4 linked regions of the Diceros bicornis minor genome follow. The protein of the gene in region 2 interacts with the protein of the main gene of each other region in a biochemical or structural test. Links are inferred from orthologs where the notes say so. Each region holds a gene or a part of one and is shown on either strand. Other genes may lie near its edges. The genes, in order: FOXO4, CREBBP, ZNF106 and ETS2.

Region 1 (7,984 bases), on a different chromosome or scaffold from region 2:
CTCAGGAGGAGCCCAGAAAGGCTTGGAACAACTAGGAAGCTGAGGCTATAGACAGTCAGAAATCACTTCATGTGTTTCTAGATAAGGAGACCCTTTGCCTAGGAAAAGATGCTTAAGTAGCTTCTTGTTCCAGGGCTCTTTAGCCAAAGAACTCTTAGTCTCCCTGGGACCATGCAATAATGGCACTCCAACTACTCTGGCTGCATTAATACTCAGTTCCTTCAAAAAAAAATCACACTTGTCCATCCAACCTGGGCTCTTAGTAACCGAGGACCACAGTGACTTCTGGCACCAAGATTTCCCCCCTTTTTGTCCTCTAACTCTGGGTCTACTGAGAAGGCCCATTCCTTTCCCTACTACTAAATACACATGAGGCCCATTTGTTCATCCCCTCTTCTTTAGGCCTTGGGACTAGTACACGGTACAGCCTCCTACCTGGAGAGGTCAGCTCCCTAGAAGCCTCTAATTCTTACCTGTTGGAAGCGGGGTGACTGCTAATTGCTCCCCAAGCCACCTAAACTAAGCTTTCTTGTTCTAAGTTAGTGCCGCCCCCTGGTGGGGTGGTAGTAACCTTGGCCCATCACTAGGAAAGCCAGTTCAGGAGTGAGGCTTCCCCTCCTGGGGTGGAGTGAGGATGAGGAGTGGGGGTGAGAGCCTTGGAGACCCCAGGCTCATCCTGATTTGGCTTTGCCATCATTTCAATGAAGAGAATTTGGCAGCATGGACTAGCAGAAAGAGCATATGATTTATAGTTAGACCTGAGTTCAAGTCCTTATTGTACTGATATCAGGTGAGTTTCCTAACTTTTCTATACCAGGCTCCTAATATGTAAAATGTGGAATCTCAGAATTGCCGTGAAGATTAATAAAATAAAAAATTTAAAAACTACTTTGTAAACTAAAGAGCCCCATATAAGTGTAAATTAGAAGGAGAGACTACACTCCCACAGCAAAACTAACAACTCATGATTATTTCTCCTACCCTGGAAAATGAACCTAAGGGAAAAGAAAAACAGCTGTGTAGGCTGGGTCCAAGGAGGGGAGCTCTTTATGAGCTGCGACTGTGGCGTGGCAGTCTACCCAGAAATAGTGCCAAGGGTCTCAGTCAGCTGTCCTGTTTTCTGTTCTGCCCAACCCCTAGGATACTGCAGATCTGATCCCTTGATACCTACGGGAAGAACCTCTGCTCACTCAACCCTCTGTACTTCCTTGTATGCTGACCTCACCACCTATGAGGATACAAGATACATCCATAGGGGTTGAAGCTCTCCAGTTTCGTGAATAGAGCCCCATATTTCTCAGGACACATTTTCAGAGCATCTAGTGAGATCTTTTCTCACAGTTTCTTCATGGAAGGCCAAGGGAACTCCCAACCTTGTGCTATGAAGTCAGAGCCCTATCTCTTTTTTTCATGACTAACATTCCTCAACAGTAAAAGAAAACTTTCCTCCCAAACTTGGATAGCTCCTTACAAGGGAGAGTTTCTTGGCATTATAGGGTAAACTGAGCAGGTAGCAGTTCACAGCCTTTTTTTCTTGGTGCATAAGATCAGCTACCTTACCCCATGAAGATCACTCTTCTTCTCTTTTTCCACTCCACTCCCTCTTCTTGGGTACAACAGTACCTCTACCCTGAGGTGTTGGGAGGTAAGCGGGGAATCCAAGTAATCCCACAGGAATGGGAGAAAAGGTGTTGGGGTGGGAGGCGGGGGAGGAGGGCAAGCTAGGCTCCTGTGGGGAATCCACACAGTTCCTGCTGTACATAGGATAAAGACTTCTCTGTGGGAATAAGTGTTTGGGGCAGCCCAAGCCAAAGTGCTGGGAGTGTTGAGCAGTGAGCAGAGAATTCAATTTTCTCCAGGGCAAGGACAGTGTCTTATTCATCTGTGACACTCCAGCATCAAGCACTGAGCGTGGCATATATTATTTCCTAAGCAAATGTTGGTCTAATTGACGACTGAAGGTGAATCTCTGAGGTGAGGGTGTAAAAGGGGCCCCAGAGTAGAAGTAAGGAGGCTAGGGGGCCCAGGGGCAGATAGTATTGGGATGGAGGTAAGGGGGTCATAGTTACCTTCCATCCTGCTGAGCTGTTGCTGTCACCCTTGTCCTTGAAGTAGGGCACAGTGCGGACCATCCACTCATAGATCTGGGCGAGTGTCAGTCGCTTCTCTGGGGCACTTTCAATGGCCTGGCTGATGAGTTCTGCATATGACTGATTTCCCCAGGCATTCCGGCGGGAGCCTCCCTTCCGAGGACCTGTTACAGCCCCCAGGATCCCAGGCTGGGGGCCCCCTGCCGGCTCTGGGAGCCGGGAGGGCAACAGGATCGGCTCTGAGCGCCCCTCCGTGTGTACCTTCTCCCCCAGACCTGGCTCCACCTCGGGCGGCTCGGACGGCTCGGTAGCAAGCTCTGGTCGGGGAAGGGGCCAGGTGCAGGAGCGGGGACGGCTCTGGGGTTCGAAGTCGGGATCGAGGTCTATGATCACGGCAGCCTCTGTGGCTGAATTCTCATTCTCTGGATCCATACGTGGAGTTGGACCTCCGCCGCTCAGCGTTCAGAGGAGCCTGCCACAGTCCCTTACGATGCCTCCCCCCAGGGGGGAAGCACTAAGGGCCAGGAGGCACATTCCTGCCAGTCCTCAGAAAGTCGCGAACTTCCCCCTCGCCCCAAGACGCCAGCCCCCAAGCTGTCCCTTCCACACAGTTCTCGGATCCTCTTCTCGACTACAGCCTGCAGCCTCAAGAGCTCTTTCCGAGACACCACCTGTAACCTCCGCCTAGCGAAGACACTTTTTCTCCAACCTCTCACTCAGCTTCCTGCTCTTTTAAACCTGAGGCACGGTATCCCCTCATACATTGCGCTCCCATCACCGAACGTCTCTTGAGCCGCAGTTCCCTCTCCCTTTTAAGTTGCTGCCCCCCGGACACTCCTCCCAAATTTCCTCCACCCGGATCACTGCCCTCCCCCACGCCCCGCTCCCCCGCGTCACTTGCCCCTCCCCTGACTCCCCCGCCCTCCGCCTCTTCCCTTCCCTCCACTCTTGATAAGGTCCACGTCCCCGCAGCCCCTGGCCCTCTTATTCCCGCACCAATTCCCCTATCAACCCCCCCACCCCCCGCCCCCCGGGTTTCCCTTTTGTTTTGCTCCAAGCAGCAGCCCCCGCCTCACGTCTCTGTTTACCACTCGCCGGGGCAGCCATCTGCGCACGCGCCTGGAGAGGCAGTTGGGAAACTGAGTTCTTCAGTCGTGCCACCCGGTCAGGCCTGAGGACTACATTTCCCGTCCTACTTCGCGGCCAGGAGCCCGATAAGGGCGGCAGGAGAGCGGCGTGGCAGGATATAGGGAGGTGGAACTTTAGTTATTAGAGATCTTCGCGGACTCTTTTTCTTTTTTTAAAAATCATTTTCCTCCTTTCCCCGCTTCCCACCTCCTCTCTTGTGATTCAGGGTCGCCTAGGTGACTGTGTTGAGAGATGCTAGACCTTTCCCTCTTTCAGTTAAAAGAGGGCAAAAGGAAAAAAAATGTGGTATCTACAAGAAACAAAACTGAGAACCAAAGAACTGATTAGAAAAGAGGCTGTATGCATGTTGGGGAGTTGAGTGCTTGTGTAACATAAACAAATGGTTAGCTGATGGTAGCATCTCCCTCAGCCCCTTCAACCTCCCATACGCAGTTCACACTGACAGTGCAGTCGCAGACCAGTTTTCTCCACTGGGTCTTCTGGCCTCCCCTTAAATGTTGATATTCTCTGGGTTCCCGTCTTAGGCAGCTTCACTTCTCATTCAACAGGTCCCAAACTGAACTCGTTTATCTATTCCTGCACCCACACCCCTATCCTCTGGCTACCCTTATCTCTGAATTTGGTTAATGGTTGTCCTGATCTACCCAATCTTCCAAGCTAAACTTACCCTTCACCTTTTCATCTCCCTAACTTCCCACATCCGAATCCCAGTTCAAGACCTTATTTATCACTGGATTAAGTTGCAATATCATCTTTTTTTAAAATAATTTTATTTATTTTTTTTTCCCCCAAAGCCCCAGTAGATAGTTGTATGCCATAGCTGCACATCCTTCCAGTCGCTGTACGTGGGACACAGCCTCAGCATGGCCAGACAAGCGGCGCGTCGGTGCACCTGGGATCCGAACCCGGGCTACCAGCAGCGGAGCGCGTGCACTTAACTACTAAGCCACGGGGCCATCCCTGCAATATCATCTTAATCGGACCTCCTGCCATCAATCTTTTCCCCACTGCAGTTTATGTTCTATGCTGCCAACAAAGTTACCTTTCTAAGAAACTCTGCTCATAACAATAACTAACTAAAATTTATGGAGCACTTATTATGGGCCAGGCACTGTGCTGATTGTTTTGCATACATTAGCTCCTCTACTTCTCAAATCAACCCTGCGAGGTAGGTGCCACTATTATCCCCATTTTATAGATGATGACACTAATGCTCAGAGATTTAGTGACTTGCCCAAAGTCACACAGCTAGGAGGCAGGAGAACTGGGATCATATCACTTATATGTGATCATATAATTTCCCTGCTTAAAACTGCCTTTGATTTTCCCCATTGCCTATGTGATAAAGTTCAAACTCCCTAGCAAGGCATACAGGTCTCCTCAGATTCAGACCACTTCCCACCTTTCCTGCTTCATCTTTCACTGGGCGCACTAAGTTCCAATGAGTCAGAGTTTCACACTATTTCCTGGAAATACCATACCCTTTTATGCCTTTGCCTGCACATCCTGGGATGTCCTCCCTCTCGTCATCCCCTCCCCAAGTCTCTTATTCTGGAACACTCCTATTTAACCATTCCTGTCTCCCTCAGGTGCAGTTAGTTCTCCCTTTTCTGCATTCCCAACCACTTTGTGCAGGCTTATGTTCTATAGCACAGACCATGTTGTATTGTCATTATTTGTTTACATGTATGTCTCTTCTACTAAACTGTGAACTCCTTGAGGGCAGAGACAAGTTTTGTGTATCTCTGTGACCCCAGCTTGGAGTCACAGAGGAGACATTCAATAAATGTTGGTCGAATGAATGGGATCAGGAATCAAATGACATTGCACTTGTACATTCGACAACTTTTTAATAAATGTATCATATGTATTTTCTGCCTGGCCATGTCCCAATTTTCCCTTTAGACAGCAAGCTCCTAGGGGTAGGGACTGTAATTTAACTTGTCTGTACAGTGCCTAGCATTATACCATTTGCAGTGTTGCTTGATACGTGCTCTGTGATGACCAGACCTTCTCCCTGTCAGGAAGGATATCCATACAACCTGGGATTTTTCAAAGGCAGCAGCACATTGGGCCTCCAAAATGATGTTAGTCTGCTTACGGTAACAGAACAAACTTGGTTCTACATATTCCTGCCTCCCTCTACTCCAACATACATTTGTCCTCCATCTGTCATGTAGAGAGTAAACAAAAGACCGTGTATTCCTACCTGAGGTCCAGACTCGAGAGATGGGACATAGTTGCTCACAATGCCTGGCAAACATTTCCTGCATATGCCTCTTCCTCCTGCAGCACAGCCTGGAGTACTTGGTAGGTGCCACAAGAGTGGGGAATTTGGTAGAAGAGAGAGCCTGGTGGGCACTAGGTCACAAGGAGCTCTCTTCTAACTGAAACAGATGTGGTGGCAGATCATGCAGAGCTGCTGAGGCAGGGAAATGGCAGGGTGGGGCAGGCACCTGTCCTGGATTCAGTTATATCTTGCATTGTCTCTCTTTGTGCATTTGTTTGAAAAGGGCCACTTTTCCACCAACTCATGTCCATCGCCTCTTTAAATTTCCAATTCAAAGCTCAAAACTTACGTACTCTTGGAAACTTTCCCCAACTAGCCCAACCTGACAGATCACTTACCTACTTTGCATCTCCTGTACCTCTATGAACTCAGTTTGTATTCTTTAATTTTGTGCTTGTGGTTACATGGCTTTTCATTTCAGGAGGGCATGTTGTCTCCCCCTTATTACTGTGGGAGTGTTAGAATATACATTAGTCAAGAGACAGAGTTAGCAATGTGGCCTTGGAAAATAGAAGAGACACTGGTCAGGAAAGAAGACTAACAGGAGACCCCCAGAAAGCCACTGTAGTCATAAATTATGAACAGATATGGCAGGATATGGGGGGGTGGGGCACAGGCCTTTTTCCCAGTTGCAACCTCTGAGTTTGTGGTCTCAACTAGCTCCCCATTCAACACTTGTTTTTTTCCTCTCGAAGGTCATAGGGGTTTGGCTCTCTTGCCTCTTTCATTGCCACTGCCCACTCTTCTACCTGGGTGCCACCCCCCAAGCCTGCTGCCAAACCGGCTTTATTAATTTGAATTGAGATAGACATTTCCCCGCTTCTTTCTTACCCTGCCCAGCTCTGAAAAACACACAACCTCCACCTGGGGTTTGTATAGGATTTTTGCTAGTGACTACAGGGAAAGATGCAGGAGTTAACAAAAATAACAATGAGAAAGTTCAAGGAATCTCAGAAAGCACCACCTCTGCTTGTCCTTGGTCTTCACAGATGGGTATGGAATGTACATGTTTTTGGTAGCCCTCTTCCATAAGTCCTGCCTTATGTGTTTCTGTGAAAGATTTCTAGTCCTTCTCTTAGAAGCCTGTACCACTCTCCCAACCCTGCTGTTGTTTTAAAAAATCTTTTAAGTTAATAAACATTTTGTAAGAGCCTACTATTTTCCAAACACCAGGCTAGATGCTTTTACATAAAATGCACCTCAGACTAAAGTCCTCAGGTTTAGCCCCAAGAGGATTTGAGTTAGCACCACTACTGAGTTGGAGGCAACTATCATTCCTTTCTGGACCCTAAAAGTCAGTCTGATGTAGTGAAAAGCACTAGGTTGAGTCAGGAGAGCTGAGTCCTTGTCATAGCTCTGTCACTAAATAATTGAATAATGACAATAATTACACTACTATTAATAAGTAACATTTATGGGTTTTCATATGTGTTAGGCACTGTGCTAAGAGTTTTACATGGATTATCCGATTTAATCCACACAGTAAGCATGTAAGTTAAATGCTATTACTATTTTCATTTCACAGAAGAAAATGAGACCTAGAGAGGGTAAAGGAACCTACTTAAGGTCTGGAGTTGCTAAGTGGTAGAGCAGAGGTATAAATCCAGGCAGTCTTGACTCCAGAGCCTACACAAGTCAATTCACCTCTTCCGGCTTTGCAAAATGAGAATGTTGTATTGGATAACCTCTAAAATCCTATTTCCTATGATCTTCAACCAGACCCCAGATTGCCCTTTTGGCCGTAGGCTACCCTGAGCTTTCACTTCACACCCACACAAATTCGGTCCTGGCTCCCTGCAGGAACAAGGTCAAAAAGCTGCATCTCTCAGGTTTGGGGCTCGCCTGAACTGACCTTTGAGCCTCCTCTTTAACTCTTCCTGCAGGCCTCTATGGTTCCAACCTTTGAAAGTCCTACTGGCATGATATTTACTAGAATTATTAACCAAAGAGTTTCCAATACAAGAAAACGTGCTTATATTTTAAAGTTACGTGAAAAGAGCAGGATGCAATACTTTATGTGCCGTATGCTCATAATTTTATTTAAAACACATTGAGAAAAGATAGGAAATGCCAAAAAGTGTTAACAATTGTTATCTTTTTTCTTTTTACTTTCTTATATTTTTCCAATTTACTATGAATGTGTATAACTTTTAAACTGGGAAATATGCTTTATATTTTGCCTCTTTCTATAAGGGATTTGAGGCACTTTACCATAATAAGAGTACAAATGTCCTAAGATTATAGGAATAGAACATCAGGGGCCGGCCTGGTGGCATAGTGGTTAAGTTCCTGTGGTCCGCTTCGGCAGCCCAGGGTTTGCAGGTTCGAATCCCAGATGTGGACCTATGCACTGCTCATCAAGCCGTGCTGTGGTGGCGTCCCACATACAAAATAGAGGAAGATGGGCACAGATGTCAGCTCAGGGCCAATCTTCCTCACCAAAAAAAAAAGAAAG
Region 2 (7,051 bases):
TCCCATCTGTCATAGGTGGCAATGGCATTTATCACTTGGAGATGCCACCTTGTCTCACTGGAGTATTTTATGCACATCCACACTCCCCCAGCCAGCTAGACTGCAAGTGCCCTGTAGGCAGCACCCTGGCTGGTAAGCTCCCCAACGTCAGGTTCTCCTCTCCGCCCACTACCAGCCTCCCTAGCCTCATCTAAATGACACCCATGGCTCCACAGGCCAGTCCCCACAGATGTGTACCGCATAGTGGCAGTCCAAGTCACTCTTGTTTATCAGGCCAGCAAGGCCTCCTCCTCCTCACCCCTCAGCTCTTCCCATGCACGGAGCTCCCCTCCCTCAAATTTTATCACATGAGCAGGGAACACACCTTGTGCCACCTGGCCCAATTTTCTCCTCGAAGCCTCAAACACACATTCCCTCAGTAAAACAAAGCTGAGTCTCTTAAGAACTTTATTCCCAGGTCTTTCCTTACCTTCCCATACAACCAAATGCCTTCACTCCTTTGACTGTATGAAATTTAATCCTTTAGTTCTTTATTTGCTTAATATACACGCTTAAGATCTCTGTCTTAGACTAGTAGTTACGTGAGACAAGGCTGTACCTTATTTAATGTGCTCGACCATGATCCTTTCTTTGCTAACAGACCTAACAGACACTAACAGACCCTTTCACAATAACCCTCTCATGTTGTTGATGAACATGTAATCAAGTACGGGACATAAATATGATCGTGAATTTTATTCTTTGGATTATTTAAATCAGAACTATTAAAAACTGACTTTTCTGTTCCACATTTGGAAAAGTAAAAGAGCCCCCATGCCTTACGAGGGTTAAAATCGTAAAGGAAGGGAAAAAAATGGTCAAGGGTGGAAAATCCTTTCTGATAAACTTGGTTGCGATTAGCAGCACATTAAGTAAATATCTGACCATCCAATAACAGAACTACCCAAAGGCCATCCTTTGGGCTCCATCTTGGAAACAGTTGGATATACAGCTGGACAAGCCTTTGCGTTAAGTCTGTGTTACTAATTTGTCCCTCTTTCAAAAGCTACAGTAACCTCACTCAACAAGAGCAAACTGCAAAGCCATTCAAAAGTGACCAGTTCAGAGGACAGGTTTCAAAGCTGAACTTGCCTGGTATGATCTATGTTTCATTTGATTAAAGACTTTTCACTCAAACATGGCAAGATTAACGAAGCAATGGAGATCTGTTCTGCAGTAAGAGGACATTTACATCATGGTTGTTTCCATATTTCTCACTTCAGATAAGTTGATTTTACCAAATTAACAAACTCAACTCCATTAGTTTTCAAAAAAAGAGTATTAGTGACTTTCATATATCATGAGCTTTATTTACTCCTCCCCCGTTTAACAAACTTTATTTTAACTAGACAAGAATCTCTTTATGATCGATTTGTAAAAAAAAAAGTTTCTCTCACTTCTACATTAATATTCAAGGAACTGTATTAAAACTTAAGTCAAAAAATTCAAGTTTTGTTTCAACAGTAGAAACATTTTTAGACTACTCATAGGAGTACGCTAGTGGTCAGTCATACAAATATTTGCACGAGCTGAACAGCTGTGTCTACTACAAATCTGAAGGCACTGCTGCAGGAATATAATTCAATTTGGGCCCATTCATTAAATTTTCAGATGCTGCTACTACAAGACTGTACTGAAGAAATGCAAGCTGCGCTGGAGACCGAATTGTTCGCAGCAGCGCACAAGTTTTTACTGCAAAGGAGAGCTCTAAAAGAGGAAATACAACTTGTTCATAATGCTACCATGAACCAGCCCAGAAGAAGCCAGAATTACTAAATGAATAGAAAACTAAAATATTTCTCTTAGGCAACTGATATGATTACCTAAGAAAGTTTTCAGGGAAACTGTTTAATGAAGAAAAGGATGACATTCACTATCCTGCTAAATTTTTTTTTGAAAACTCGTAATCACTACATTCCTTAACATAATTTTTTGTACACCTACACTGTAAAAGCAACAGGAGCTCAAACGGCGACTGCAACCCAAACGAATCTATTTAACTTTCTTTTCAAGTTATACACGTGAAATTACACACACTACAGCCACTCTTATGACATCTTGCTAACAAAGTTTGGGGTGGTGAAAAATGGCATGACTTAGGTGACCAAACAACAAGAGCCTTTCAATTAGCTACTAAGCATTTTTCCAAGGAGAACATTCCAAGAAACTTCTAAGTCGTAACTCACAGGCGGGCTGCTGCTCTGAGTGTCTTCTGGCCGCCGCGTAGTGGATGTGTTACCAATTCAGAAAACCCTTCGGGTCCCCTTTCGGCTGCACTTTCTGTCTCTAACCATCAAACGTACCCTCCGCTGTCATCCCTCCAGACGCCCGGCCACGCGTGTGTCGACACACGGCGGCAGAAGGAGGCGGATGGAATCGCCACGCTCCACTTTACTTTTCTCCCTGCAAGTACCACTCGGTCTCCCCGCGAGGCTCTCCAAGAAATCCGAGTGCACCGGGCATGTGCCGCCCCACTCGGGCCCCACGACAGTCTCCCCGCAAACTTCCCCCTCTCAGGCGGGGGTCCCGGGAAGGGGCTGCGCCGGCCTCCGCTTCGGGGGTTCCGCACGCCCGCCGCCGAGTTCGGGTCTCCGCAGGCACTCCCCTCCCGGGGGGCCGACAGCGACCCCCGGGGCCCCTGCCCCCCGCCCGGCCTCCTCCTCACCTGTGCTGTCATTCGCCGAGAAGCCGGGCGAGCTGAGTTTGGCTCGTTTGGGGTTGGGCGGTCCGTCCAGCAAGTTCTCGGCCATTTTCACCTGCTCGCGAAAACAGCCCCGAGCGCGGGCGGCGGGGCCGGCGAGGCTCCGGGGCGGGGGTCGGCGCCGGCCCCGGCCGGCTGCGAGGGGAGAGCAGCGAGCGCGAGCCTGGAGCCGCGAGCCGCGAGCCAGCGAGCGCCGAGGGAGAGGGAGGGCGCAGGGCCGGGTGGGGGAGGCGGCGGCCAAATCTCAGCCACAGCAACAGCGCCCCGCAGCGCTCACCGCCCGCCCCCGGCCGCCGCCGCCGCCGCCGCCGCCGGCCGCGGCCCCCTCATCCCCTGCCCGCCTCCCGAGCGCGACACTCCGCGGCGGGGGCGCCCTGGCGGCCCGGCCGCCGCCCCGGGCCCGGCTGGCAGCGACGGCGCCCGGCCGGGCGGCTCAGGCAGTTCCCGGGAACATGGTGCCGCCGCCGCGCCGCCGCCTCGCTCCCCCCCCGCGCCCCACTTAATTAATTCGCTCGCGGCCCGACGACCCGGGGGCTCCGGGCTCCGCTCCCCGCCCGCGGCCCGCCGCCGCCGCCGCCGCCGCCGCCGCGAGGAAAAACAATGCGCGAAGCGGGGGCGCCGCCGCCGCGGCCCCCCCACCCCCCGTTCCGCCGCCGCCGCTGCCGCCGCCGCCGCCGCCGCCGCCGCCGCGGCTCCGGGAGGCCGAGCCGAGAGGCGAGCGGGGCCGCCGGAGCGGGCGCCGAGGGCCGGGCGGAGCGGGCCGGCCGGGCGGAGCGGGGTGCGCGGGCGGTTGTGGGGCCCGGGACCGGCGGGGCCGAGTAGATCGCGCTCGAAGCCCCGGTCGGGTCCGCGACAAGATGGCGGCTGTTGATTCCTCAATTAAAAAAAAAAGAAAGTTTTTTTTCTTCTCTTTCCAGAGCCTGAACGGGGAGGGGGAGGGGGCGGGGCACGCCGGTGCGTCACCCCCCCGCGGCGTCACCACGCACGGCCCCCGCCCCGCCCCCTCCACCTGCGCCGGCCGCGGCGGAAAGAGCCGAGCGCGCTCGGGCGGAAAGGGCCGAAGGCGCGACCGCTGTGCGTGGGGCGGCCGGGCGGTAGCCCGGCCTGCGAGACCCTGAGCGCCCAACCCGGCCGTCACTTTTGTTCTGACGGCGACTGGGCTGCGGGGCCCGGCGAGGGCCATGGGCGGCGGCCTGGCCGGGGGCCGGGCTCCAGGCGCGGAGTCGGTGCCGGCTGGGCCCCCCCGTCCCTCGGGGGCGACTCTGCCCGGTCCCAGCTCCTCATGTCCCTGCTAGCGACGTCGGAGGCGACCCGGGCCCGGCCTGGCCACTTCCCCTCGCCGGAGGCCAGCGACGTGTCGTGTCCTCTGCAGGTCACAGACCGCCCTCGGGTCCGCCTGCGAGCGTGTGGAGATGGGGAAACTGAGGCAGGAAGTGGCAGGGCCGGGATTCGAATACTCCCCCTCAAGTGAAGTGTAGGGGACGCAGGACTCCTGAGCCCCTGTTCACCAGCCCCATGCGATGGGGCCCCCAGGCCCGACACCCTCTCCTGCAAGGGGAAGGGGCGAGCGCTGCCCCCCGGGCTGGGGCGCGGTCACCTGCGCCGGGCCTAGAGGGCCCCTTACGTCAGCGCGGAGGGCCTCGCTGGCCTGCGCGCGCTCCTGCTCCGCCCCCCGCAGGTGCCCCAGACAGGTGTGGGTCCCGGGGAGATCGGCTCGCATGGCCACTCCCCGCAAGACGGTTCCACAAAACTCTAAGATGTTCACATCTCAGCTTGTTATCTGCTCCTCAAAGCGTGCCGGAGCTTCATCCCTAAGTCCTTATCTGAAAGGTATCACCAGCAACCCGGTTCCTAAGCAAGAAACCTGTACGGGAGTGCGGACTCCTCCCTCCCTCCATCACCTCGCACCCAGGCTCCCCACGTCCTCTACCTGGGAAACGGCCCTTCCTCCCCATCCCACTACACCCGAGTCGTCCGGCATCGCCCGGGTGGCTACGGTGGCAGCTTCCAACTTCAGTGTCCCTTGCGCTCCACGTTTCTCCCCATGCAGCACCAGAGTTAACTTCCTGGAAAAAGAGAGAAAGAACTCTGTTTAAAACAAATAGCTCCTACACATGGGGAAAAAAAGACTATATATATATAGTCTGTTTAAAAAAAAAAACCATATGTATAGTCTGTTTATATACCAAAAGAGTGATTGTCTTCAAGTGTCAAGACTGAGTGATCTTTCTACTTTTTTGTATTTATCTATATTGTTCAAAATCTTGTACTGCCCACCCCTCCTTCCCAGCATCTGTCTCTTCCACTTTCCATCCCTCACTCCACCATCACTCCTCCACAACCACTCAGCCACTGGGAAGTTCTTATCATTCAGGCCTTTTTATGCTTTTGCAAATGCTGTTCCCTGTACTGAGAATACATATGCCTGGAAAACTCTGACTCATCCTCCAGGACCCAGTTCAAATGTCACCTACTGCAGGAAGCCCTCCTAGCCCACTTCAGGACTCCCACAGCATTCTGGACAGACCTCTGTGAGGGCACACCTCACACTTTGTCACTTTTTTTTCAATCCATTCATGTTTTTATTTATCCATCAAATATCCCTTGAGAATCTCCTGAGGGCAAAGAATAAAGAAAGAAATCCCTGTATATTCAAGGAGGCCAAATGGCAAGCCCTGGAAATCATAAACAGAAGTATTCAAGAAGCCAGTTTGCACAGGAAGGCGGGAAATGTATCAAGTCATAGAGTAACACAGGGCTGGCAGCACCTTGTATCTGAATGTGCCGTGTGTGTCCCTGTCACCACCAGTCTGTGGGCCCCTTGAGGGCAAGGGCCATATCTTAGACATAGTACAGTGCCCCTCAAGAAGTAGGTTTGGGGCCAGCCTGTTGGCGCAAGCAGTTGGGAGCGCAAGTGGTTGGGAGCGCACGCTCCACTTCCGCTGCCTGGGGTTCACAGGTTCGGATCCCGGGCGCGCACCAACGCACCACTTGTCGGGCCATGCTGTGGCGGCGTCCCATATAAAGTAGAGGAAGATGGGCACAGATGTTAGCTCAGGGCCAATCTTCCTCAAGAAAAAAGGGGAAGATTGGCATCGGATGTTAGCTCAGGGCTAGTCCTCCTCACAACAAAAAAAGAAGTAGGTTTGTAAAATTTGATGAATCAATGAGTGAATGAACAATGTCAGGTCTCCCTAAGTCCTAGAGGCCTCCAGGTCACTGAGAAGGGTGAGTTCCAGCCTAAGGCAGCTCCATGCCACTCCCACAGAGAGGACGATGTGTCAGGTCACCGAAGCCTGCCTTGGGTCACCACCTGGCCCTCGGGGTCCCTCGGTAAATGGTTTACACAGCCATGTGCACATGAGCTCACACCATCCCCCATCAGTGGGCAGCTATGGCACATGTCATGTCCACTTTTACAAAGGGAGAAACTGAGGAGACCCAGTCCCAATGACTCAGAGGTAAATGACCTGGACATGTCAGGGCCAGGCCTGAAACACAGGTCTACAAACTCGAAACCTCATGTTCTTCCTGCTCAACCCTAAAACATACCTGCTCTGCTGTCCCTTTTCTGTCTCATTTGTATCATTTTGATCAGTTCTGCTGGTATTTCCTGATATCTGCTTTTTCTTTCCTGTTTCTTCTCCCCTTGGTGTGACTCTCATCCAAGAACGCTGTGCTCAGACATTGATGGGGGAATAGCAAGAAAGGAAGGATGATTCCTGCCCGCACACTCTTAGCTGAGGATCAGGGTCAAAACAGATGAAAGGGACCTGGCACTGTTGAGTGCCTTCTGTGTGCCAGGACACTCTGCCACACTTGGATCTGCATTTCCCACAATCCTGGAAGGAAATATTGTCCTCATTTTATAGATGAGGAAATGAGGCCCAGAGGAGGGCAAGTCGCTCAGTCACTAAGAGGCTCACCTGGGTTGCAAACCTAAGGCTGCCTGCTCTTTCTAGTCTCTAGTCTCAGATCAATGAATCCCCATTTACAGAATGCTCGGGGGCCGAGAGAATGAGGCGAGGAGGGACCAGCAGAGGAGCAAGAGGTGGAGATAAATCAGGAAAGATTTCCTGAGAGAAGTCCATTTGAATCCATCAGCTGATGAATGGATAGACGTGTTATATCCACACAATGGAATATTATTCAGCCATACAAGGAATGAAGTACATGCTATGACATGGATGAACCTTAAAAATGTGATGCTCACTGAAGGAAAACAGCCATCCAAGACCACATATTGTGTGATTCCATTTCTAGAAAATGTCCAGAAGAGGCAAATCCACAGAGACAGAAACCAGATGAGTG
Region 3 (7,479 bases), on a different chromosome or scaffold from region 2:
GGCAGGTGTCCCACATATAAAGCAGAGGAAGATGGGGACTGATGTTAGCCCAGGGCCAATCTTCCTCAGCAAAAAGAGGAGGATTGGCTACGGATGTTAGCTCAGGGCGAATCTTCCTCGCCAAAAAAAAAAAGGACTTAAAGAGACATAATAGTCAAATGCAATTCATAAATTTTGAGGGGAGGGCCGGCCCTGTGGCTTAGCGGTTAAGTGTTCGCCCTCCGCTGCTGGCGGCCCGGGTTCAGATCCCAGGTGCGCACCAACACACCACTTCTCCAGCCATGCTGAGGCCGCGTCCCACATACTAGAAGCTATGTGCACTAGAAGAATGTGCAACTATGACATACAACTATCTACTGGGGCTTTGGGGGAAAATAAATAAATAAAATTATAAAAAAAAAATTTTGAGGGGGAATTGCGTCAAAAATGGTTAAAAAAGGGGAGGACAATTTGGGGACATTGTTAAGGATTGGGTATTAGATAATATAGAGGAATTGTTGTTCAGTGTGATTATGATATTGGGTTATGCAGGAAGATGTTCTTCTTATTAGTGACATCAAAGTATTTAGGGGTGAAATGTCAGGAATAAAAGCAAATAATGCATGGGCCGGCCCCGTGGCTTAGCGGTTGGGTGTGCGTGCGCTCCGCTACTGGCGGTCCGGGTTCAGATCCCAGGCATGCACCAACGCACCGCTTCTCTGGCCATGCTGAGGCTGCGTCCCACATACAGCAACTAGAAGGATGTGCAGCTATGACATACAACTATCTACTGGGGCTTTGGGGGGAAAAAATAAATAAAATGTTAAAAAAAAAAAAAGCAAATAATGCAAAATATTAACAGATCATAAAATCTGAGTGATCGATTTACAGGAGTTCAATACGGTATTTTCTCTACTTTTCGGGATGTTTAAAAGTTTTAATAATAAAAAATAAAACAGAAAAGCTTACAGAGAAAATTACTTCCCTCCCACTCACGTTTCCTAGCCACCTCCACCTCCAGCCACTGTTACCAGTTTATGCATTCTTCCAGATATTCTTTGCATATATATGCAAATACATATATTTTTAAAAACCACAAATGGATGCAAACTGCACACTCTCTTTTGCACTTCTTTTTTTCACTTACTATATCTTAGAACTCACTCAATATTTGCACACAGAAGGCTGGCTCATTCTTTCTAACAGATGCATAATTTATTTAACCAGTCCTCTTCTGAGCAACACTCAGGAACTCTCATTTCTTGACAGTCTCTTTCAGACAAAAAAAATAAAAAAGGAAAAAACACGAATTGACTGTAAGGTTTCAATTAGAGATTTAGCATGCTGGATGTGCAAATGGAGTTTTCATTTGTAACTTGTCTGCTTAGGTGCTCTTAATCACTGGGTACACAAATTCATCCTAAACTTCCCACTAAGATGCTGCAATTACAAAACACACAATATGTACACTTCTCACTGAGCCATTCCTGGTCCCAGAACCAAGTCGGCTAGCACCCACCATTATTCCTTGCTTCTCTTCTACAGTAGTCTTCAAACTACATGTGCTCTAACCTAGATCTACAACAATCACAATTCACAGTTTTTCCTTTCTAAATATGTTCCTTTTAATCAAAGCAATTGGTTCCAAACTAACCTGATCAGACTCCTTCACACTTTCTACCTCCTTCCAAGCCACTGTGAAGTTCTCTTCAAAAACCATCTAGTAAGTACCTTTAAAGGCTGCTACCACTTTCTAGACTCAATAGTTCTCTACAAACTGTAATTGGAATGCAGTTGCTTCTCAGCAGAAGTGCTTGAAATATCTAACTTGGTGTAGCAGCAAAAAGATTAGCTTTGGCACTGTATGTGCATTTCACTACTTAACCCTAGCTAAACTAGCTTAAGCAAATTACCATCAAACTCTCAGCGACCTCATCTAAAATGTGCTCCAAAAAACCGCCTTCCGTTACAATATCTCATTAATTTTTTGTGACAGACCTGAGTGTATCTGTGGTAGGTGAAGTAGGTGCTAAATAAATCCTAGTTGAATCTAAATATTATCTTCCATTATTTGATTCACGACTAAAGTTGAGAAAGAGCTTAAAACTAATTATAAGATTTCCTAAAGGGTTTAGCACAGTACTAAGCTCTTAGTAAGTGCTCCAAAGTTATTCTGGCTTGAGTAAATTCGATATAAACCATTATGGTGGATAAAGCACTCTCTTGGTAGGTAAGAGAAGAACTTCCCTTAACCAGGATGGCAGTCCCAAATTGCTAAGAGTCATGGAAATCTCAAACTTCCCAACAAGATAGCTTAATCTCAAAAGATGGTTCTGACTCTCAAAGATAATTAAATCGAGCAGATTGAAGGGGGAGTGGGGTGCAAAGCATTTCCTCTCCATAATTATGCACCCAGATTCGGACTAAATACTAAATTGACACATAGTAAGCGCTCCATAATTAACAGCTATTATTAAGACGCATCCCATAAGGAGAGAAGACGGAAGAAGGAAAAAGAACGGAGGCTGTAAGTCACAAGTGGTCGAAAGGTGTTCCTGGCCGGAGACCCGTAGGCCTTTAAGCACCCTGACTCTATGGGCTCCCTGCGGCACCAAAGGCCGAAGGAGGTCAGCGGCCTCCCCTAAAGGTCAAGGCTCTGCCGCCACGTTTCCGGCTGGGAGCAGAGCCGGAACGCCCCCGCGAGAATCTGTACCGCGAAGCCAAAAGCACCGCCTGCCCGTAAACCCGCGCGGCTCGGGGAGAGGGGACGACCGGGTTGCCCCTGCACCGCGGCCTGCAGGAGCAGAGATCCGGCCGCGTCCTGCAGCCCCAAACCTCCCTAAGGGGCAGACCACCAGGACCCTCGGGCTCCGATACGCCTCAACGCAGCTCGGCCCCTCGATACTCACACTCACAGGCGACCCCTCTTACTCCATCAGGCCGCCGAGGCCCAGACGAGGGAGCTCCCTGACGCCCCAGACGCCCCCTCGGTTTGGGGCCCGGCGGCCCGCTCCGAACCGGCTCCCCTCCGGGCTCCGCTGCCGCCGCCGCCGCCAGCGCGCAAGCGCACACCGCCGCCGTAGAGCTCCCCTCTCTTTTTTTTTTTCCTTTGAGGTCCGCCTTTCTCAATAATCTAGCTTTATTTGAACTCACGAAAGTGAACAACGGACACAGGGGGAAAAGGGTTTATGTACTCTAAAAGAATGGGAGAAGACAAAAGGCAGGCAGGCTTGCGAAGTTAGTCCGCTGCGCTGCACGCTCCTGTGAGCAGCCTCCCGGTTCCTTCTTCATTCTCTTTCTCTTTCCGGGCCTCGCTCTTGCTCTTAGTCTCTTCCTGTCTCCACCATTCCCTTTAGGCGGTGGCAACTGTTGCCGCTACATTGCCAACCACTCCTTCCTTCTAAAATTTACTGAAGCTTAATGGAAGGTGCAAGAGCTTTAGAACACACAGACCTGAGTTCCAATTTTTTTGACCTGGATACTAGTACTTTGTGACTTTGTGTAAATTACAAATTTTCTTGGAACCTCACTTTCCTCAGAGTTAAAATTAGGATATCTCTCAAGGTGTTGCTAGGATTAAATGACATAACATAGGTCAAGTGCCTATCCATAATGGTGCCTATCAAAGAGCAGATAATCCATTAATACTAATAATTACATTCTTATTAATACTTAATGTATTTATATTATATTAATTATTAATATTAATTTATCTTAATTATATATATTAAACTTAGCCCATACCCATTCTCTCGGGATCTTATTTTAGTGACTAAAACTAGTGAGATAAACCAAATTACATTAAGGTTGATAATTTGTGAAGTGTTACTCCTCCTATATTGTTGAACTTCTAATAATATCTATGTTTAACAAGACCTTCAATGCCTCAGATCAAAGTAAGCAGCTCCCTTCATCTCTGTGTAAATCCAGATTTGCTTCTAGAGGATTGAGGAACTATTCCCATTCTGTGTTTGTGACATCACAAGTCCTTGAAACACTCAAGGTCTGAGGTATGCTGCTCATTCTACTCTCCTTTAAAGGCAAGCAATGGAAGAACTGCTTTACCCTATAAGCTCTGGACCATAGTCCAACGAAAAGCTTGTAGAAGACCAAGGTCAGCTGTTGGTGAGCGTCAAGGTAATCCTAGATCATGATTTCTCAACCTTGCCTTGGCACTATTGACATTTTGGAGATAGTTCCTGTGCTCTCCTGTGCATTTTAGGCTATTTATCAGCATCCCTGGACACCAGATGCCTGTAGTGCCCCCTTACATCCCCACCCACCCACCATCTTGATAATCAAAATGTCTCCAGACATTGCCAAATGTCTTCTGGAGACCAAAAAAGGAAAATGTCCCTGGTTGAGAACCATGGCATTATGCCAGTGACCATCCCAACGCTAAATGAACTCAACCATACATTTTCTCCACTTCTACCTCAAGAAGTGATTACTGCTTGAGAAATCTATGCAGGAGGGCAGAAACTGGTGAGTTCATTTTTACCAATCTTATACAGGCCCTCAACATGGCTTACCAGTTCTACTACTTTCCTCTGGTCAATTTGCTCTATCACTTTCTACAACATTCCAAATCTTCTCCACTTTCTTAAAATTCCCAACTCCTTTTCTATCAGCAGATGACCTCATCTCCTACTTCACAGAGAAAACAGAGGTGATCAGATGAGAACTTCTTTAACTTTCTGTTACTAAACATACAAACTTACAGACACATACTTCCTCTCATTATAATTGAGAAGATCTCTCTTCTAAGACTGTCCCCCCATCAGTGCTCTGGATTGCCTCCATTCTTACCCTCTGAAGATCTTTACCTACTAACTAGCACTTCTCTTTATTCAACTGTTTTTTCTCAGTTGCATATTCCCTATCATGCTTAAGTTTCTCCTGCCTTAATTCTAACAAAAAATCCAAGAAATAGAAACAAAAAACTTTGACCCCTTGTCATCCCTTTCCCTCCTACCCTCAAGGCCAAACTTTCCAAAAGCTTTCTACAACCTGTCCCCATTTCTGTATCTCCTCTCTCTCCAAACTACTGCAATCTATTTTTCAACTTCATCCCAACAGATAGCTTTCGCTAAGATCACTAATGATCTCTGTGTTACTAAATTCAAAAGATATTTCTCAGGCTTCATCTTCCTTGACCCCTTAGGAATAGAATATTCCCTCTTTAAAGCATTTTTCCCCCCCAGCACTGTGCTTTATTTTTAGAGGTGCCTGGAAGAGTTCCCAGACCTGCTTAAAACCCTTCAGTAGCTCTCAGTGATCACAGTATAAAGTGCAGGGTCACTAGTCCAAAAATGCAAGACCTCCCAAGATCTGGCAATTGCCAACTTTTTAAAGCTTATTCCCCCTTCACCTGGAGATATACGATGAGCTCTAAACCTCTAACCAGGATGAACTACAAGTAATTTCCAGAAGGCGCTATGTTCTTCTTGGCATACGCTGTTCTCACAGTCTGGAAAATAGTCTCTCTCCCTCCCGGACTTCCGGGGGAACTCCTACTTATCCTTCATGACTCAAAAGTCATTTCCCCCGGGAACCCATCCAGCCACCCCTAAGAATAAGGCACTGTGTTCACTGTGCGCCAGCGGCGCCTCGGATTTTCTATATGCCATGCACTATATTCTATCCACTATAATTTATTTACATATCTATCTCCCAGTCTAGACAGATCAAAAGACCCTAGAGGGCAGGGAAGGCATTCTATTCGCTTTCTTTTCCTCAGTGTTCATCCCGCACAGTGCCTGGCGGTTTGCCCTCAGTACGGTACATGTAAATGTTTGTTGCTTGAACACTTCCCACCTACAAGCGGGACTCGAATTATCCGGTTAACGGGTGAGTCCCCAGGCTCCTCGCCTGCGTGGCAGGGAGATTTAAACCCCCCGCACCGTGATTGGCTCCAGCTGCAGGGGTGTGGCCGCACCCGCGGCGCCGGGGAAGTGCGCAGGCGTGTGAGGCCGGCGTGCGCAGGCGCAAGAAGGGGCAGGTCCCAGTCCAGTCTGGGGGTGTCCGAGCTGCCGAGGCCGCAGAGGAGTGGCCGAACTGCGTGGTGAGTCTCCAGGAGTGGGGCTGAGGGAGCTGGCCGAGGTGAAGGTTGGGATCGTATCCGAAGGAGAAAGAGTATATCATGACGGTTGAAAAGTTGGTAGGATCGGGCTTTAGGGGAGGAGCGGGGCTGTGGCTCGGACTGGGCAGGTCGGGCCCGGAGCGAGGACGCGAGGCGCCAGGAGACTGTCGAGAGGCCGGCACAGGCAGGGTGGCGGGATGGTGGTTCTCTGGACCCTTTCTTGAAACCGAGCGGAGGTAAACTCTCACTCCCTCACCCCCGACCTCCACAGGTTTGCTGTGGTCGGGATTAATAGACTGTATGGTGACCACAGTGATCAGATAACTGTGAATTAGTTGTCTGAAGAAGATCTCTGAGGTTCATGGCATTGGCGAGTCCATGCTTTCTAGGAAAGTACAATCTTACCTGTTTTACTTGGTTCTCTCACGTTCTTCCGTAGCCTGGAAAATACCACACTTGAAATGCATGAGGCATCATTAGCTAGAATACTCTGAGATCTAATCTTAAAATGTCTCATAGTAAAATTTTTAAAAATTAATATTTTTGCCACCAGCAAAGTTGATGCCTAAGGCATTCAGTGATCCTTGTCATTTGTTCCTTTGGCAAGAGGTAATGAAAAAGACCGCATTCGTATAAATACTAGCAAATATTAGGAGAAACAGGAGAAACACCTCACATTACCATTCTCTTTTGACAGGTCATGTGAAAGTAAATAAAATGATCATATAACTTAGCCTACAGCTTAAATATTTATCATTGTTGCTAGGGCTTTTTTTTTTTTTAAGTGCTTGTGGTATGTGGATATGCACTAGAAAGTTGCTGTTATCTTAGTTCCAGAATAGGACTGACTTATTGTGCTATTATTTTCTTAACCTTATTACACTGTTTCCTATGAACAGTAGAATATCTGTATGGATCTTAGCCTTTGTTTCTTTTACTCTAAAAGAACTTAAGTATACTAACAAGCTCACTTAACTAAAGGTCACATTTTTTCTAATCATTCAGAACACAAGCTTAAATCAAGAAGAAAGCAAACAAACAACAAAACAGGCCCTGTTGCTCGTGGAACAGCTGTCAGTACTTCATTTATCATGAACCATACCACCATCATAAATTTTGCCTTTTAGAGGATCGTCTGTGTTATTTTACTTCGTATTTTTAATAGACTTTTTTTGAACATTACCCTCTTCCAAAGTGATAATCTACGAAATCCTGGTCTTGTATTTTATAATACTTTCTAGTTTTGTGTATTTTATAATATTTTTTCTAGTACACATTATAATAAATACATAACTATTAAGTACATAACTATTGCTTATATAACAGCTAAAATCATCTCTTGTTGTTGCTCTGCCCTTTGGAAAATACTGTTTTGGGTCTAATCTACTCATTTTTAAAATGAAGTAAAGATTGGACTG
Region 4 (6,896 bases), on a different chromosome or scaffold from region 2:
AACCTTAAAGAAGAAGATAGACATTGCCTGCTCTTGCATAGTTTGTGACCACCCTGTCAGGAGGCGGGGAGCCTGCTAGATGACCCTAGGTCTGCCTGGGGTTCCTGGTACCTGTGCCACCAGCAGATGGGCAAGACTGGAGGGCCGGCTGGATAGGATACATGTTGTACGAATATTTGGAGCTGGGGGAAATGGGGGTTATAAAGTTTGACTTTATCTGTTTCTTGACCCCAACATGTATCAATGGAATAATTGCTACTTGCCAGACACCACCCAGCGACTGCAGGGTGAATGGTCAGCAAAGGAAACACAGGTGCAGAACATGCATGAATTAAACTATTTCTATCTCTAAGTATATTTTCTTCTCCCCCGGCCCCCACCTCCAGGATTTCCAAAGTCTCACATTTGTGTGTGATTTTTACAGTACCATGTACTACATTCTTACTTCTTCGAGGACAAGGACTAAGCCTTACTCATCTTGGTCTTCTCAACAGCTGACATTGTGTTTGCTGAATAAATGATATACCTCAGACCAAATGACCTCTGTTTAGTTTGCAACTGGAGACCACCTCGAACTGTGTGTTAACTATTGATTTGGATTTCAAGGTAAATACAGAGGTATTTCTAAGGAAATGTTTTTGCTGTTTTTTTTTTTTTTTACAGGATGACTTGATAAGCTAATCATTCTTAATAATTACGTCTGGATTCTAAAAAACTCTTTATCTGCATTTTACTCTCTGGACATTTAGTACTTATAATGCATACGTTATACTGTAATGTCCTCTTTCCTCCTCCCTTCTATGAGCTTCTCTCTTTCTTAAGGGAAAAGAGATTGCTCTTAAACTCAGCTTGACATGGTGCATCTGAGCATTTCACCCTGCATGCCTTCTGACTTCTAATTTCCTTCTAATACCTTCGACTTTTGATCTTGAAGCACAAGGGCGGTACTTTTATTAGGTTTAATTTACTGTAAAGCTCGGTGTTCCTTGTGAATCAAGCCATAATAGTCAATGAATAATCGCCAGCTTCAGCCAGGCCAGGTTTTAGTTCTGCTGAGTAACTAGGAAACCGACTAATAACAGGAAGGCTTAAAAATGTTAGAAACCCCAACATCGCCCCAAAACTAAGATAAGCCATTTTATCACGAGCATGGGACCACCCAAGCGTAGAGGGACATCAGCCACCACGTAGGTCCCCAGGCCAGGGGGCTGCTTGGATGAGCCCAGGCCTCCTCAGAAGGGGAGGCAGGGAGTGACAGGGGCTTGCGTGGGGGACAAGAGCCCAGGCTGCTGTGTGACCCTGGCTTCCTCTGCCTGGCCCCGTGCATCTTTCAGCTCTGCCATTTGTGCTTCTGGCCAGACCATTCTCAACAGGCTTTCACACATTTCCATCTGAGAGAGTAGGGATGATTTTTTTTTCATGCATATAATATTTTTTTCAAAGGGTTTTTCATAAAATGATCCCAGAGGGAAGATTGCAATAAAACCTTGATCGCTCTATCATTGTGAGCCTCTCTTCCATGGCTCAATATTCTGATAAATCCTTTACATTTTCGGTTCCATGTCAATGGTCATCACAGCCTTATGACCTAGGTTCCGTAATCACCTTTTCTTCTACAGAGAGAACTGACCCCAGGTTTGAGTTCGAGCAGAAGAAAAATTGACTGTCAGGAAGGGGTTGTCTCCAAACCCCTGTGCTCTCTTCTTTTGACCTCTTTCTGCTTGGACATGTTGGAAACGGCCCAGCATGAGCAAAGCACCCCTCCCAACCCCCAGCCTGCACCAGCCCCTCAAGTAGGAGTGATGCCATCCCAAAGAGTCAGTGGACCTCAATGACTCAGGGAGCCCCTGAGCATCCCGCAGTGAACACCCATGGGCACGGGAGCAGGTGCTGTGGACAAGACCATCCCACTTGAGCGACTGAACTTGACCTAATGCAAGCGTCTCAGACACTGTGAAGGGCTGTGTGAGAAGCCTGGGGGAAAAGACCTTCTATTAGCTGAAACTGCAGCCCAGATGAGTTACTATTTTCTGCTACAGTTAAAAAAAAAAGTACTCTTCACGATTCCATGGTAACTTAGTATGGATCTGTATTTCATTTGTGAAACTCCTTCTTGACCTATCTATGATTTTTGATCCGGGCCTGAACAGACACAGAGAAGCCATCAGAATCAATTCCACCTCCAGGAAACATTAACCCCCTGCAAGCGCTCCCGGTTGTTTCAGCTGCATAGACCCAGCCTCTGACTCATACAACGGTGACACCGGAGACCCTCAGGCACCTAGAAACATTAACGTGCAATGTTATCTCAATTATCGGGATCGCGCCGGATTTCGGGTTGCCATGGAAACCAGGAACCTTGGTAACAAGGAAGTGAGGCAGTTCCTCTCCTTCACGGCTCCGCAGTCCCTGAGCTGCGCCAACTTTCAGTCCCACCGCCATGCCTAAGCTGAGCTATTTGATTTTATGCCCACTTTCAGGAATCTAATAAATTTTCCTCTCAAATATTGAGAATCTGACCTGAATCTGAATAGGAAATGCACACATTTCTAGCCATGCCTTCAAGCATTTTCTGCTAAAAATGGAAACCGGCACTGTGGGTGGCAGTTTCCCATGGTTGGGAGCCTGATAAAATCGAGTTTCAACCCTGGATTTCCCATTTATATGTTTTATGACCCAGCAAGTTATTTACCCTGAGGTTCAATTCCCTCATATTTATTTATTTTTTTTAATTTATTTATTTTTTTATTATTTTGTGTGTGTGTGTATGTGTTAGGAAGATCAGCCCTGAGCTAACATCCATGCTGAATCCTCCTCTTTTTGCTGAGGAAGACCGGCTCTGAGCTAACATCTATTGCCAATCCTCCTCCTTTTTTTGCCCCCAAAGCCCCAGTAGATAGTTGTATGTCATAGTTGCACATCCTTCTAGTTGCTGTATGGGGGACGCGGCCTCAGCATGGCCGGAGAAGCGGTGCGTCGCTGCGTGCCGGATCAGAACCTGGGCCGCCAGTAGTGGAGTGCATGCACTTAACCGCTAAGCCACGGGCCGGCAGAACTCCCTCATATTTAAAGTGAGAACAATAACGCCTGGGAGAATTATCATCAAGATTAGCCCAGAGAAGCCCACTCCAGGCTGGTTTCTATTAAGGCACCGCTCAACTCTAGGGGGTGCCACGCACCCGGAGGCTGTAGGAATGCGGTCTCCCGGAGCAGGGTGGACCCCTCGCCCAAGCAAAGGTGGGCAAAGGGCCCGGTTCGTACATTTATCATCTCATTTAGAGTCTTTTCCTGATAGAGTGATCAGAAATCATAAGCCCAGGAGGCGACCCAAGAATGGGGCCAGAATAAGCCCCTTATTTCCCAAGCCCTGCGGCCACTCGGTGCCACCAGCACCACCACACCGTTCCTGCCGAATCTGAGAGGCACGTTTGGTGTTAAAGCCTCAGGACAAGGGGAGGAGACCGCATGCTCCAAGAAGAGACTCTCCGCCGACCTCCCGGGACCCACGATCGCACAGGGCGCCAGGCCTCCGAGTCCCCAGGGGCACAGCGTTCCTGGAACAGCAGGCCAGGGACAGAGCCGTGTGACAGCGGGCGCGGAGCTAGGTCCCGGCCGGAAGCAGCCGGCTCCGCCCCCCCGCTCCCCTCCCCTCCCCTCCTCCACCTCTCCTCTCTCCCCTCCCCTCCTCCTCCTCTCGCTCCCTCCCCTCCTCTTTCCTCCCCTCCCCGCTCTCTTTTCCCCTGCCCCTCAGCTCCTCCTCCCTCCCCTCTGTCGTCTCGCCTCCCTCCTCCCCCTGCTCCTGAAGAGCCCGCCGCGAAGGGGACAGGCCGGTTACTTCCTCCAGCGACGGCGCGGAGCGCAGCGTAGCCGCAGCCCCGAGCGCCCGGAGCCGCCCGCCCGCGTCCCGGCGTCCCGGAGCGCCCCTGCCCGCGCGCCCTCGGCCCCGCGCCCCGCCGCGCTCGCCCTCGCCTTCGCCCGGCGCGCCCCGTGGAGCCCGGACCGGGAGCAGCCGCCGGCCCTGCCCGAAGCGGCGCGGTAAGAGCGGGATCCGGGGCGGGCGGGCCGGCCGAGGTGCCAGCCGGCCAGGCGCGGGCGAGGGGGTCCGCGGGGACCCAGAACCCGGGCGGGGGAGGTGGGTAGCGCCGAGGTCCGGATCCCCGGACGCAGCTGGGGGCAAGGCGGAGTGGCGGCTACTCCTAGGATTCGGGAGTCGCGCGTCCGGGTTCCGTTCCGCTCCAGGTGGCCCGGGGCAGGGCGCGGGGTGGGCCCGGCCGTGACGCGCGGAGCCGGCCCGGACCCCCGCGAACTTGGGCCGCGGCCCCGGAGTCGCCGAGCCGGCTGGGGCGGGCGGGGCGCGCTTGCTCGTTTCACTTGCTTTTGTTTTTAAAAAGAAACGCGGGCCTGGTGGGGGCCTCCTGCCAGTGGGTGCCCCGCGGACCTGATTTCGCACGGGGGCTGGGGGACGCAGGAGAGGGTGTCTGAGGGTCCCCGGCGCGCCCGGGTTTGCTGGTGACTTACTGGAGCGCGCCGGGCCCGGGTGGATCTGGGGCGCCCGGCGCCTAAAACACCTGAGAGGCTGCGGCTCGCCAAAAACGCGCGGGGCCTCCGCTCACCTGCTCGGCCATGTCCTGGGCCCGGCCGGGCGGCGGGCGAGGGAGGCGCCCTGAGGGTGAGCTGGGACTTCTGGATCGGGGCCCCTCGGTCCTGCGAGGCGAGCATGAGGAGCCTGTCGGAAATGGAGATGTGGATGCGCAGGGCTGCCTTTATTTTCCCGTTCTTAAAGCATTTTGAACGAAGGCATAACAGTGAGCGTTTGTGCGTGTGTAGGGTTTTATTTTATGTTTTTAAGCACGAGACTTTTTTATATTGGCCTGTATTCAATTTCAGGGTAGCCTAAAATAGTAGTTGACGTACTGCTTATTTAGAAAGTAAAGAAGTGAGCAGTCCCCTTTGGAGATAGGGGTAATTTATTTTAATTCACCAGTAAGAGATTATGTTTATTCCGGACAATGGAAGCGCCTGTTCACTCTCTACCTGGCCGCACCACCACCAGTCAGGGAGATAAATCTCCAAGTGAAGGTTTATTAAAATTATGAGTAATATCACAGTAGAGTAAATGTTAGCCCCGTGCGTCCTGCAGGGAAATATTGAAACACTCATTTATGGACTTAGTCATTCCTCTGTCTAAATTGATAACTTTCAAAGGAAAAAGCAAAGCAACCCTCAAAAATGCATTTCAGGTTTGTTTTTGTTTTCCAAATTTACCTAAATACAAACATAATCTCACATAAGCGATCACTTGTTCTAATAAGGATACAGTTGTCTGGCAAGTTCTTCTTGTTTTAAAATTTAACAATTCTCAGCCCTTATATTTCTGCCATTTTTTCTTTTTTTGTTCCAAAGCAACACCAAAAGGATCCAAATCTGAAATTGATTCATGTGAGAAACTTGGCCTGTCTGCCACCTTAACGAACCGTGATGAGTGAAATAAGTGAACTTAAATTTGGTTAGTGCCGTCTGCCTGAAACCGTTGGTAGAACACTTTGATTCTACGTGTTTTTTACGAAACAAATTAAAAGCTGGACAACAGAAGAATTCTATTCTGTAGCTAGTAATTACAGCTCTCTATGTGGGAGGGGTAGACTGCCTTTTCTCCTGGTATTTGTCCACAAAAACCTGACAAAGCTTTTCCACCTCCTTCGGCATCCATTCTCTGCCCATCTCTGTGAGGCTGGAAAGCATAGAATAAAGTCAGCAAGCTGGCTGCAAACAGGATGCAGAGAAAGTGCTGTCCTACTGCGCTCTGGATGGGTGATTGGCAACAGTGAAGATGTTTTTTCATTTTGGTCTTCTGTTGCAGGCTTGTGTATTTAATCGACAGGTAATAGGACCTAGTTCATCCAGACAAATGACATGAAGCTCTAAATTAAGGAGCATTTCACATGGTGAAGAGGAGTGAGGCGGGGCCTGCTCTAATCATATCTATATGCTATCTCTGCTCTGTAGTGATGTGGGGGAAGGGCCCATTCCTTACCTTTCAGGTTGTCCTGGCATGTGGAGGAGCTCAGGATTAGGGCCATACTCCACAGGGATTTGGTCTCACTCTGCCCCGAGGAGCCCCCGCAGTAGCTGTGTGATCCTGGGCAAGTTACCAGAGATCTCTGGGCCTCCGTTACCTCACTGTAAGATGGTATAACATCCACCTGTCAGGGTTGTCAAGGAGGTGGGAATGGGTGACCCCCCAGCTTGGGTTTAGCTCTTAGGGAGCAGGATTCTGTCAGGGCAGCCAACAGTAGTAGTGCAGAGTGATTCTTGATCACCAAGTGGAGGTTCTGAGCAAATGTGGCCTCTTGTGATCCAGGACAACCCCTCTCCTGCCCTCCCCGAATAGGGCTGTTATTTATTGCCACTGCTTTCCAGTGTCTCCTGGCCACCATGATGGTTACCCACAGTGAGGGTTTTAAGAGCCCTCTCCAATGCCTCTGGACTCCCTCTGCGGCAGAAACTCTCCTCCCATGCTGCCTCTCTAGCCAAGGGGTGTGTGTGTGTGTGTGTGTGTGTGTGTGTGTGTGTGTGTGTGTGTGCGCGCGCGCGCGCGCGCGCGCTTGCGTTCTTGGGAGTTCTGGTTTAGCCATACTGTTGATGATAGCGAAAAAACAAGAAAGCACAAACTCAGCCTGGTTACGGGAAAATATGCTGTTTGCCACCTCCAGTAAGTTCCATCAATTGCACAATATTTTAATTACTCAAAGTTCTTAGTTGTAAGAGGTGGGAGCACCCATTGGAGACCACGGGGGTGGGCAATTATGGGTTACCCCGTAAGGCTTCCTTATAGGCCTTCAGTTCCGTGGCCGGGAAGCCCCCTTTCTCACTTATTAATATATAACCTACCCAGC

Evidence for each region.
Region 1: the proteins of CREBBP (region 2) and FOXO4 form a complex in vitro, tested with the Homo sapiens proteins (2 studies listed by BioGRID). The link is inferred for Diceros bicornis minor from reciprocal best matches to the Homo sapiens genes CREBBP and FOXO4.
Region 3: of the proteins of CREBBP (region 2) and ZNF106, one has a biochemical effect on the other in vitro, tested with the Homo sapiens proteins (2 studies listed by BioGRID, with this or other methods). The link is inferred for Diceros bicornis minor from reciprocal best matches to the Homo sapiens genes CREBBP and ZNF106.
Region 4: the proteins of CREBBP (region 2) and ETS2 form a complex in vitro, tested with the Homo sapiens proteins (2 studies listed by BioGRID, with this or other methods). The link is inferred for Diceros bicornis minor from reciprocal best matches to the Homo sapiens genes CREBBP and ETS2.

What each region holds. Positions count from the first base shown.
Region 1 is NC_080781.1:64,409,369-64,417,352, reverse strand, and holds the start of FOXO4 (forkhead box protein O4), read right to left. Parts: upstream 3,007-7,984; 5' UTR 2,523-3,006; coding exon 2,070-2,522; intron 1-2,069. UniProt on the Homo sapiens protein: Transcription factor involved in the regulation of the insulin signaling pathway. Binds to insulin-response elements (IREs) and can activate transcription of IGFBP1.
Region 2 is NC_080765.1:44,566,454-44,573,504, reverse strand, and holds the start of CREBBP (CREB-binding protein), read right to left. Parts: upstream 3,005-7,051; 5' UTR 2,790-3,004; coding exon 2,705-2,789; intron 1-2,704. UniProt on the Homo sapiens protein: Acetylates histones, giving a specific tag for transcriptional activation. Mediates acetylation of histone H3 at 'Lys-18' and 'Lys-27' (H3K18ac and H3K27ac, respectively).
Region 3 is NC_080744.1:40,078,413-40,085,891, forward strand, and holds the start of ZNF106 (zinc finger protein 106), read right to left. Parts: upstream 3,006-7,479; 5' UTR 2,889-3,005; intron 1-2,888. UniProt on the Homo sapiens protein: RNA-binding protein. Specifically binds to 5'-GGGGCC-3' sequence repeats in RNA. Essential for maintenance of peripheral motor neuron and skeletal muscle function.
Region 4 is NC_080766.1:38,840,019-38,846,914, forward strand, and holds the start of ETS2 (protein C-ets-2), read left to right. Parts: upstream 1-3,886; 5' UTR 3,887-4,035; intron 4,036-6,896. UniProt on the Homo sapiens protein: Transcription factor activating transcription. Binds specifically the DNA GGAA/T core motif (Ets-binding site or EBS) in gene promoters and stimulates transcription.